3 linked regions of the Drosophila melanogaster genome follow. The protein of the gene in region 2 interacts with the protein of the main gene of each other region in a pairwise test. Each region holds a gene or a part of one and is shown on either strand. Other genes may lie near its edges.

Region 1 (4,821 bases), on a different chromosome or scaffold from region 2:
TCTAGCCAAAAGATTTTACCACATCTTCAAGGCAGAACAACAGTAATGGCCCGGCCAACTGTTGCCTCATCGACAGTGGGGCTGCAATAAACCAGTTGGAAGTCGCAGCTAATCTTGCAACACAGTTGCGCAACAAAGAATCCGAGGCAACGGTACTAACGTGTTTGCTGTTTCTGCTGCTATTGTGGCTATACGCTGGCTTCTTTTTGATTCTGTTCTGTTCTTTGCTTTTCTCCGTCTCCATTTTCTTGGCAATCAGCTCTCTGAGCCAGTTGCGTGTAACAGGTTTTTCCTCTTGAATAACTGGGACTTTCTTACGGGACTTTTTCGGAGAGTTTCTGCAGAGAAAACAGGTTAGAATCGGCACAGACTTGCAATAGATGATGAGGCAACAGCCGCCGCAAGAAGTTTACAACGGTGAGGCACACATTTCGCGTTCACGTTAGAACCAACGGTGTTTTAGCCAAGTTTAGCTGCAAGCTGCTAGTAAGCTGGTTGGCAGAACCACCAACCAGTTACCAGTTACCAGTTAGCTCTTGATTGTTGTTGCGCAAGCGGCAGCTGAATGCGGCGCAGAATAAATCTAACATGATTTAAGCAACGGAAAAACATGAAATATTAATGCCGATGCTTGAGTCTTGGCTCCGAATCAGAATCCGAATCCGTCCTAACGGTGGTCGCTCCGTTCGCCATCATCGACCCTCCTCTATAAGAAGTTTGGCCCTATGCCACCCAATTCCCCCACTCCCCTCCCCGCCCTAATGATGGCTCGATCCGATCGGTTGGGCTGGGGCCCAGTTGGGCGATTAGTTCAAATTTGCCCCGTCTGTTGGCCAATGGCCGAGATGTTCTCGGTTCGCCCCTTTTTTTGGGCATTCTTGACTCGAGGGTCATTGTGGTCATAGCTGTTCTTTGATTGGTTTTTGCCCAAATTGGCATTGGCAGCTTTAATTAGCGAGCTTAACATTTTAGTGCATTCTTGTAGTTTTGAGAGCACTAAAAATGCGCATTTTATGACTCATTTAAAAATATATATGTGCCAATGTTCATACTATTTATGACACTTTAAAGCTTTTTATATACATACTATATAATTATAAATACATGTATATTATCTTTACACAGCTTGTAGTAGACAAGACTTCGTATATATAATGACTTACTACTGCATCTATAGTTTATCCGTGTTCTACAAATTTGGTTTATAAACGAGGGGTTAACCATGAATTACATATCTTATGCACTATTTAAATGCATAACAAAAGAAAATATTTGTTTACCAAATATGTTTCTTTTTAAACATGTATATATAAAAATATATATCATAGTTGATTTTTTATTAACTAATTTTATGAATTTTTACAAATATTATAAATGGCAGTTTCAGTTGTTAGTTGAGTAAATGTCGAAAGTCAAGCCCAGAAGACTCATTCAAAATTTTCCGCCCTTGGAATTTCCACCTCGAGCGTGCAGAAATTTCCCATGACGCTTTATCACCACGACGGGAATTTTCCTGGCCCTTAGCCCGCCCCCGCCCCCACTGAGAGTTTTAGGGGTGGAAAAGCTGCGCAACAAACGTTCGTTCGACTGTGCTCGTTTTCCTTCGTGTTGTGGCTTCCAGTTTTTCCTGGCTATGCACTTGGCATTATGCCTACTAACCCTATTTTCGCAGCAGTTCGCAGCGAGTCCCATTTTTCAACTTGCATGCGGATACACACGCACACACACACTCGGATTTTCCTTTTCCCAGAAACTGAGGCGCAACCCCCACGAAACGGAAAGTTTGTGCAGCGGCAGAACGAACTGTGTTTGTGGCACTCGAATTTGGGACACATTCCTGTAAAGGACGCAGCTCCGGTCAGCTGCTTCGCAAAATCGACAAAAAGGAGTCACAAAAAAACGCGCGCGGTGCATTTAGCCACAAATCTCTGAAAGTGAAAATACAAATATTGAAACAGTGAAATCCACAAACCAGCCAAAAGTGAAACAAAATTGAACACAGTGCTTAATTAATATCGAAGCTAAAGGGATAGAAATCCGATTAGGAAAAGGGAAAGCTGCAGCGCTGCTCCTGTTTGCCAAATATTGATTCGCAAGTGTGCCGCTGAAAAATCGATTATTAAAGCCACTTTCCACACAGCTGGTGGTTGTTGTTGCCGTGAGGATGGAGGTGGTGCTTGGGGTGGTGGTTGCATAGGGTTGCGTGCCGCGATGTGGGAAATCAACAGCAACATTGGCACATCCACATCCAGATCCAGAGGCACACTTCCAACTGTTTTGACGTGGTCGGGTTCCAATGGCGCTGACACTACCGAATGCTGCAGCGCAGCCTTGCAGCCATCCAGCGGCGACGCGTTGCATGTGCAGCAGCAACAGCAACAGCAGCAGCAACATCAGCAGCAGCAGCAGCAGCAACAGCAACAGCAGCAACAACAGCAGCAGCAGCAGGATACGAAAACGAGGATGACAACGACCACAGGCAAACGCGGAGGACACAGATACAGAAGCAGGCTCAGTCACCGAAGCACAGCAACAATTGCTGCATATTAGGCAGTAAAGTAAAGTTAAACACAACCCAAAACCGAAAAGACTAGCCCAAAATTTACTCAAAAACCAACACAAGTGGAAAGCATTAATCGGAATGTCGAACTCTATGCATCGCACAAAGTTACGTTAAGTATACGACGCGTATTTCCAGCTGCAAAACGAACCAAAAACGAACCGAACGAAACGAAACGCACAGGTGCATCTGCAGACCCCACTACGCCCCTAAAAGCCCACTCCCCCCCCTTTTCGAACCCTCAGCCCCTCATTAGGCCACCCCCTCTGGGGTATCTACACCAATTGACAAGCAATCGAGGCAATGCAGTATGAATGAACTTGTTTAGTCGACAATTTTTTAAGTGCACTTTCGTAAGGCTGATTTTCAATTTATTTCGATGTTGTGCTTCTACACCCAAAAAAAAAACCAAATATAACAAGTAACAAATACAAGCATAAAAGAACCCAAGAAATTCAAGCAATGAACCAAGTGAAAGTGTGAGTGTTTAGTGTTTTAAGCGAAGGCGAAATCCGGACATTTGAGAGCCTTTGTGAGTAAACGGCCGCCACAACGGATAGGCCCAGAGATCTCCTGCTGATACAGCAGGCCAAGCCCGCCGGCGGCAGCAAATCCTCCAGCGGTGGTCCAACGTATATCGGCACCGATGCCGCCACAGCAGCGGCGGTGGCCAATCTGCGCAGCAAGGTGCCCTCCATCTCAATAATCCCGCTGCCCGTCTCGACCACCATTGTGGCACGCAGTGGTAGCGGTGCCTCTGGCACTGGCGGCAGTGGAGGAGCACCGCCAGCACTGCCCCAGCTGATCCAGTCGTCGCGGAGTGTGTCCACCAAATCCACGGGCACGTCTCCACCATTGGCCTTTATAACGGAAGGTTCTGGAACATCGGGTGCTCCCGCCCTGACACTGCTGCCACGACCCCAGCAGCAGCACCAGTACCAGCAGACCGACAAGTGCACGGTCCTCAAACTGGACGTACTGAAGCAGCAGTCGGGTGTGGCAGCCAACTCCAGCAGTAATACCTACCTGCAGATCGAGCAGCAGCTCAGCGAACTGGAGGCCGCCGACGAGGAGGAGGAGAACATGGCCAGTTTGCTGGGCAGTGCGCCACCCGCCCAAATCCTGGCCAACCAGCCCATCATCGTCAAGATCGAGCCCACGCAATCCTTCCACATCGTGGACGAGGGCGACACGAGAGTACTGAGCTTGCCCCTCAGCGATGCTGATAAGCTGGGCGCCAGTTGGATAGATCTCAAGGATATTGCCGGCCTACAGGCCGGTGGCGGAGCCACCTTGCTGGACGTCTGCTTCGAGCAGGCCAACGAGGACGGCACCATCATAGCCACCGTGCAGCCGGACTTGGAAAACGAGCTCGAGGCTGAGCTAAAGGCGGAGGGCGAGCCCGAGGATGAGACTGAACCAGAGCCTCCGGCGCCCAAGAGATTGGCGACCACCAGGCCAGCACAGTCGCGGCCACAACAGCAGCAGCAACAGCAGCAGCAGCAGGTGAAATTCCTATCGGATCCACCGGCATTGGCACGCTCCAGCAGCTTCAGCAGTCTCAGCAGCTTTAGCAGCATCAGCAATATCAGTTCCGTGTGCAAGAACATGGCCAGCAATACCAGCCAGGAGGGCTCCCTAAAACGCACAAAGGAGCGAACTCCTCCACCAATGCCACCGCTCACGACTCACAAGCCCGCTGCCACAACAACAGCAACATCAGCAACATCTGCAGCCGCAGCAACATCAGCAGCAACAGCAAGTGCAACAGCAACATCGGCCAGAGAAAACAGCAGAGAGCACAGCAGCAGCAGCAGCGGCAGTAATGGAGCCATGACAGGTATGTTCCAGTGCAACTCTCAATTATATTTTAGTCAATTTGGGAATATATATACTGTTCGAGACGATAATATATCTACCAATAATATATCTTCATATGCAAAAGCAATGTTCTTCGTCACTCTTGCTCTTAACAAACGTTAAAGAATTTTACTAAGCCATTGTGAGTGATTGTAGCAAATATTTGAAAGACCTTAAGTCAAGGATTCCCGCGAGTGATGAGTTCGCACCCCAGAAAACTCGGCAAGAATTCCACTTGTTGCGAACAACCGCCGGCTAACCACAGCACAGTGAGCACTCGCCCAGAGCGACCACCAACGATCAGCGATGGTTCAGATAATCGCACCCATATCCCCCAGATCCCCTCCCCCTTCCCCCTTCCCCATTCCACGCCAGAATCCGAGCTATGCAAATGAACGCTC
Region 2 (3,723 bases):
CCCTACTTTCTGTGCCTGTGCTTTCTGATGCGAGCGAAACGGGAAATGAAAGTGCTGACAATTAAATTATGGCTATAAGATTGGGCCAAAATTTTGCCGCTTCAAGAAGGCAGTAGTTTCAGTTGCTTGCCAAGTTTAAATTTGGTCAAAGTTGGCCTTTGATCGTTTCAAACGTCAAGCAATACTCGATCGAAATCACAAAGTTATTGCAGCTCCCTTGGGAATGGGAAGAAATTTCCTTCGTCTGCCCAGTGTGAGTGGTAGAAGCTCATTCGTATATTCCATAGTCGCCTGTTCAAATCTTCCCAAGCGACGGAGCATTGTGCTCAGTTTTGGCCACATTATGACCGAGGTGAGTAAGGCTTTTAGGTCCTGCGGACTAAACATTAATATAAAATCCTCGTTGTGATTAATTTTATAAAATGCTTTTCACGATTAACTTTCCAGTCCCGTCCCTATGTATCAAATTTTAGTATGAATTATAAATAATAATGAATACATACATATATACGTGTTAAAACAACTTACAGATGAACTGCTGTGCATAATTTGTATGTTAACCAATCGTAATAGATCGCCCAAAAATAAGTAAAAATTTTAATAAATACCACAGAACTAGTATTTCTTGGTTGAAAACTTATCAAAATATATTTTTCTAGTTACAAGTAAGAATAGTGATTTATCAGCAATTCTCTTTGGGGCAAAGGGTTTTACAATTTCTTACACGCCACCTATCGGTGGTACAATCCTTACTTTACTTTCTACACTTATGCGGCAAATGTGCTGTAAAATGGATTTTATGTGAAGCATCTAATCAATGTCCCTATTTACTTTCACAACCTGTATAAATGATTTAAAAAAATATTTTAATCACTATCATCCGAAGAAATCTCCTGAGCTTCCTCCCCTGCTTCCGCTTTATCCTCCTTTTTCCCAAATTCCTCCTCCTCATCACTATCTGAGTTTTCCATTGGGTTTGTCTTGAGGCGAGCTATCAGCTCTTTGGCGGGATTGAAAATACCATTTGTTTGCTGGGAACAGATGATGCAGCGCTGTGACTTTTTGTACTGGGCCAAGGCGCACTTTTCACAGAAATAGTGCTTGCACCTGGAAGAAAGATAAATATGTTATTTATTCAGTAAATCCAGTTTAGAAATCGTTATCATCTTCATACTTTGTTACCACGGGATTGACAAAACTCTGTCGGCAGATGTGGCACTTGAAAGGCAGTGTTTCTTCATCGGAGTGAATCTCATACTTGGTATCATCGCCATCGGAGTCTACATCACCCGTTCGCTGATTTTCGTGATCCATTTCCAATTGCCAGCCCGCTTTGTAATCACTGCGATCGTGCAGAAACTTACAGCTGTCGCCAAAGCCGCAATATCCTGTTTCCTTGTAATCCTTGCATATATCCGGCTGATAATCCCACCTGACAGTGGCCCTAAGATGGGCAGGAGCCCTAATTGGGCCACTTCGTACCATTCCGGAGCTGGCATTCCCTGCCGCTGTATCCTGCTTCTTGTAGTACTGCGCATAGTTGTTAATTCCGCGATAGATCTTATCGTCCGCCTTGCCCTCCAGCTCTTCGTTGATTTTCAGAGCTCGCGCATGAATTGCCTGCGCATCGCGATCCAATTCTGTGTCCATTTCGTTAATCGATGTAGCTCCCTGATCTTGGGGTCCACTGGGCAGCGCCTCGCGTTTGGATTTGTACGCAATGCCCAGTTTATCATCGTCGGAGGCTGAGGATGAGCCATCATCACCAACTCCTCCCGCCTGTCTCTTTGCTTTGCTCATTGTCTTGGTGCTCTGGAAGTTGGGATTCGTGCGCTTTCGGCGGTTCTCGGCTCGCACCAGAGCACTGGCTTTGCCTTTGGTCTCTTCATCGCTGCTTTTTGCTGGAATATCAATAATATTTGCCCATTTACTTTGTTGGCGGTAAAATTAAGTTCCTACCAGATTCATCACTGCTGGTTTCCTTTTTGCGACGAATTCCAGCTCCCTTCTTGAGGTTCCGCTTCTTGAAGCCAAAGGACGAGGTGCTAGCCGCTTCTTCCGACATTCTCCGGCTTTTAAATTTATGTACTTATCTAGTAATTCACGTTAACAACAATTAACAATAGCAATTTCGCCAACTGGCGCTTCTTCTTCCCGGCTAGTGATGGTACTTGCGTAACAATCGTTATGGAGTTAGTATTTTTGTATGAAACGGGCACATTAAAATTCAATGTTTACTTATGAGGAATATATTCGTTTGTAATAATTGCAATTTTTACATATTTAATACATCATCAATATGTAATAATTAATAGATTTATATTAATTTAAAGAATTCTAGAAAATATTAACTCCTATGGGATCTACCCTTTTAATCATCGATACCAAGATGTTCTGAAAGCTTCCCACTTTTGGCGCTCTACACGCGGTCACACTGTTTTCTTATCGCTTGTTATTTTTAGATCGTCAAAAAACAAGTGCGTTTTTAAAAATTAATGGATTTCAGTTTTAGCTTACAAATTATTTACTCCGTTTCACCCCCAGAACATGACGCTCGAACAGCTGTCCGCAAATAAGTGCTTCGAGGGCGAGCAACGCGTGTATCGCCATCGCTCGGACACCTTGAAGTGCGACATGACCTTTGGCGTCTTCCTGCCGCCGGCCGCTTTGGAGGGTAAACCGTGTCCGGTGCTGTTCTTCCTCAGCGGACTGACCTGCACGCATGAGAACTTCATCCAGAAGAGCGGATTCCAGCAGCACGCCGCCCGCCACAACCTGATCGTCGTCAATCCGGACACTTCGCCCAGGGGCGTGGAAATTGCCGGCCAAGATGATGCATACGACTTTGGAAGCGGGGCTGGATTCTATGTGGATGCAAAGGAGGAGCCGTGGTCGAAGCACTACAAGATGTACAGCTATGTGACCCAGGAGCTGGTGGATGTGGTCAATGCCAATCTGCCCGTGGTTCCCGGTAAACGCGGTATATTCGGCCACAGTATGGGCGGCCACGGAGCCCTGATCTGCGCGCTTAAGAATCCCGGGCTGTACCAGTCGGTGTCCGCTTTTGCGCCGATTGCCAATCCCACCGAGTGCCCGTGGGGCAAGAAGGCCTTTGCCGGCTATCTGGGCTCCAATCCGGATGACTGGGCCCTGTGGGATGCCACGCATCTGGTGTCGCAGTACGAGAGCACTCCGCAGGAGCTCTTCATCGACCAAGGTGCAGCAGACAACTTCCTGGCCGGCAAGCAGCTGCTGCCGGAGAACCTGCTGGCTGCCGCAGATGGCAATGATCACATCCAGACCATCTTCAAGCAGCGCGAGGGATACGATCACAGCTACTTCTACATCGCCACGTTCGTCGCCGAACACATCGCCTACCATGCCGCCCTGCTCACAGCTTCCGCTTGATGATATTCCGCTTGTACATAATCGTTGGTTTCCACCGAAACCATAATTCAACGTAAATTTGGCAGTAAATAAACCAATTTCGACTGAGCTTCTAAAATGTATTCTTACATTCTTGACTTTAAACTTTGAACTTGGACTTTGAAAAACAAATATTTTTATTCATTCTAGGTGCCAATGTACAGAAGATTATACACAAATGGCGTGTACTTTGTTATTTCGGTTTTAAGTTCAGCAATTTCCTTTCACAAACAAAAACTTAAGTAATGGGTATTCAGCATTCGTCGAATTCCTAAGGACTTTTTCCCGGACTTGTGG
Region 3 (3,268 bases), on a different chromosome or scaffold from region 2:
AGCAGGTGCTCGGTCATATTTCTATGACGCTCAGACTGGCTCTCGCCAGAAACCCGGGCATCCAGCTGACCAATAAGACTCTGGACCTCGACCATCTTTGTTAGTTGGGCCACGTACATGCAGAACTTCATGAGATTGGACAGCGAAGTGACCGTCAGGCTCAAGCTGAAATTATTTTCCACCGGATCTTCGAAACTGTATACTCCTCTCAGTAGCATGGGTGTCGGCAGGTACACCAAGATGCACAATAGCATCGACCAACTCCAGTACCTACCCTCGCTGAGATCCAAGGCACCACAAATTCGCCAGGCATTCAACTGGACTCGAAAATAGTCGATTTTTAGGGTTTCGCTGAGCTTCATTTTGAATTCTTGGTGTCTTTCTTTTTCACTGGCATACTTTCAAAAGGACCTCGACCATTTATATCACCTTTCTGTGTCAGTTGCGCCATTAGTCAGGGGTTATTAAATCGCAAATTAAATCATTATCGAGGGGTCGCATATAATTTTCCCAAAACTTGGGAAAATGCACACCCTTTGAGTGCCATTCAGCAAAGGAGTATCTATATATCACTTAATACAGAGCTTTATATTAAATTATTTTCATTCAAATTTTATGAATCTTTGATAAGCTACAAAAAATATAAAGGGCTTCGATTATTATTTTGTGTTTAATATCCTTCGCTTGGGACCAGCTAAGATATCCCCTCTAAGGGACTCCAGGTTGATGCTATTCATCTTTGTTATGCCATTTTTGCTTATCAGGAACAAATCTATGTTGCGCAAGTTGATAACGAATCGTTTATACAGCTCAATCACACACTTTTTGATAACATCATAGGCTGCCTGCGTATCCATGTCCGGTTTGTAGAACTCCTCGAGAATGGGAGTGCAGAAGTTCATGGCGGCTCCGTGGCCACCGTACCGAACGGGAACCGAGTTACCCAAATAATCGATGTAGTGCAACTCGGGACCGCTGGTCAAATCGTATCCGCCCACCAACAGCGACACCTGGAACGTGCAATCGCTCTTCAAATAGGCGGACAAATGCCTCCGGATGAAGTGCACCGCTCCGCGAACGGTTAAGTCGTATCCGTTGGTTATCTTGTAAAGATCCATGTTCCGGAGGATGAAATCCGAGAACTTCAGGCAGTCTCCACCGTCCCCAGCGGTCGACATCATGCAGTAGTCCGAGATGCGGTGAGTCTTTCTGACCTCTACACTCATTTATAAATTATTACTATCCTCCTTATCAAAGGCCTACTTACCGTCATCCAGCCACATCGCCGACTTGTTCCTCATGGTATCCGAGGCCAGTATGATGAAATCAGTTCCTTTAACACCCAAAATGGTTTCCATTTTAGGTAATGTTTGATTCAGTAAATTTTAGTCGGGTTTCGAAAGCCTTCTCAGTTACTTCTGTCTTTTGGTGACCGATAAACATTCAGATGCCAGAACATAAGTAATAACTCACTCACTTTCCTTCCATATTAGACCACGCATTTGTCGCTTCTCAGCGCGACTTTGCGAAGTTCGGGGGCCGTAAGAGTCCTGCGTGTCCTGTCAACAAGTCCACCCCCTCGACCAAACACCCAACCAATTCTCGTCTGCGTCCATTTCCGTTCGGTTTGTGCCACCGTTGGGGGCACTTAAAAAGCACTTAGTTGTGTTTCATTGAAATAATTTTCAGCATTTCCGCACTTGAACACGATTTTCATTATCCGCTAGCTGCATTTTACTATCCCCCATTGTCTGCACTTTTAATGTGATGGAAATTCGCGCCATTCTGAATAATTATTGCATCTATTTGTGAAATGGAAATATTTCCGCAATTAAAAACATATTTTCTAGCACCCTTCAAGTAATGACGACCATTCCATCCTCATCCAGATTTCCATCCCGGTTCGCACATCCTTTGTGTTTGCCATTTCAGACATTTATACTGCAATTAAATGCGAGAACTGCCAACAGCGAAGGAAGCGAAAGTTAATGGAATTCGCTGGAATAATAAAATGGGTCGTAGGACGCAGTGTTTACCTTGATTTTAAGATCTGATCCTCAACTGTATCCTATTGTTTTGTTTTGCCATTTAAACATTTGAAAAGAGTATCAAAAAATCGGACACAGTGACATAAACAAACATTCGGTATGAATTAAATTTGCAGTTCAATTTGATGACGACTCTGGGGAGCATGAGTTCCGTGGCTGCTGAAAATGTCATTTACGCTGACGAATCAGAGCTTAATCCGATTGGAGAGCTCCAAGGACGACGATGAATGGAATCGGACATTAATGTTCTTCAATGTAGATATTTCGAGCGGAGTGTGCCGTGACCACCAAAACAAGATTTCGCAGCCACGGTCCTCCGTTTGCAATGGAAAGCGTGAGTTGATTAACGACATTTGGCAATCGTCCGCTAACCCGAATATATACGCAAATCTAGGACGAGCTCCCGGCGGAGGATTGGCCAATCCAATTACGGAGAGTGTGATGTCATTTGTAGCAGCCAATAAATTCTATGCTCGCGAACATTCAAATTTTGATCATGGGAATTATACGCCACGAACTTCTGGCCGGCGAAGAGATAACTTTGCCTATTCCGACAGACGTCGTCATTTTTATCATAGACCAATTAAATCCGGACGAAGTCGTGCCGCAATAGGTTTAGTTTCCCCATCTCCATCGGCCGATTCTACGGGTTACTATGAGAGTAAAAGGATCCACTATCCAGACTTTGAGACTGGGAAGACGTTTGATAACTTTTACCCAGATGATGAACCTTATGAATTAGAGGAAGATGAACCCCGTAGAGTCCTCTCAACCTCTGATTATACAAAACAACAGGAAGATCCAAGAGCTAACAAAGAATACGCGGATGGCAGATATGACTACTACCCCCATGGTTCAAGGTCAACAAATAGACACCACAGAGAATCTAAGAGATACAATAGATATCCCTTCCCTGAGCACCCAGCTCAAGATGATTACCATCGAGACTTCAGACGAGCTGTTCCGCGTCAGTTACGATCTAGTTCCTATAGGATGAAACACAATTGTAGGCAGGCCTCAGGATCTTTACCACCCAACTATGCCTCAAATTGTTACCCACATGACTCAACGGAATATGGGAGTGACAATGACTATGACGGTTATCCTGAAAATTACAAAAAATACAGAGATTATTATGAGGAACCGACGGCTGAAGCCTATCAAAACCCATATGAAGAATTCCATGACTACGAATATCCAGATTATAAACAAAGTAGTAA

What was found.
Region 1: the proteins of mdlc (region 2) and Hr3 interact in a two-hybrid assay, tested with the Drosophila melanogaster proteins (one large-scale study listed by BioGRID).
Region 3: the proteins of mdlc (region 2) and Prosbeta4R1 interact in a two-hybrid assay, tested with the Drosophila melanogaster proteins (one large-scale study listed by BioGRID).

The regions. Positions count from the first base shown.
Region 1 is NT_033778.4:10,231,603-10,236,423, reverse strand, and holds the start of Hr3 (hormone receptor 3), read left to right. Parts: upstream 1-1,816; 5' UTR 1,817-2,211; coding exon of another isoform or gene 2,212-2,550; 5' UTR 2,551-3,112; coding exon of another isoform or gene 3,113-3,643; coding exon 3,644-4,400; intron 4,401-4,821. Other genes in the region: CG12912 (uncharacterized protein), read left to right, coding at 2,212-2,550. UniProt on the Drosophila melanogaster protein: Putative receptor whose ligand is not yet known.
Region 2 is NT_033777.3:20,056,196-20,059,918, reverse strand, and holds mdlc (midlife crisis), read right to left. Parts: upstream 2,172-3,723; 5' UTR 2,066-2,171; coding exon 1,960-2,065; intron 1,902-1,959; coding exon 1,175-1,901; intron 1,108-1,174; coding exon 867-1,107; 3' UTR 628-866; downstream 1-627. Other genes in the region: CG4390 (uncharacterized protein), read left to right, coding at 224-352, 2,545-3,408.
Region 3 is NT_033779.5:2,651,237-2,654,504, reverse strand, and holds Prosbeta4R1 (proteasome beta4 subunit-related 1), read right to left. Parts: upstream 1,460-3,268; 5' UTR 1,359-1,459; coding exon 1,268-1,358; intron 1,217-1,267; coding exon 660-1,216; 3' UTR 579-659; downstream 1-578. Other genes in the region: Or23a (odorant receptor 23a), read right to left, coding at 1-362; CG33125 (uncharacterized protein), read left to right, coding at 2,214-2,382, 2,443-3,268.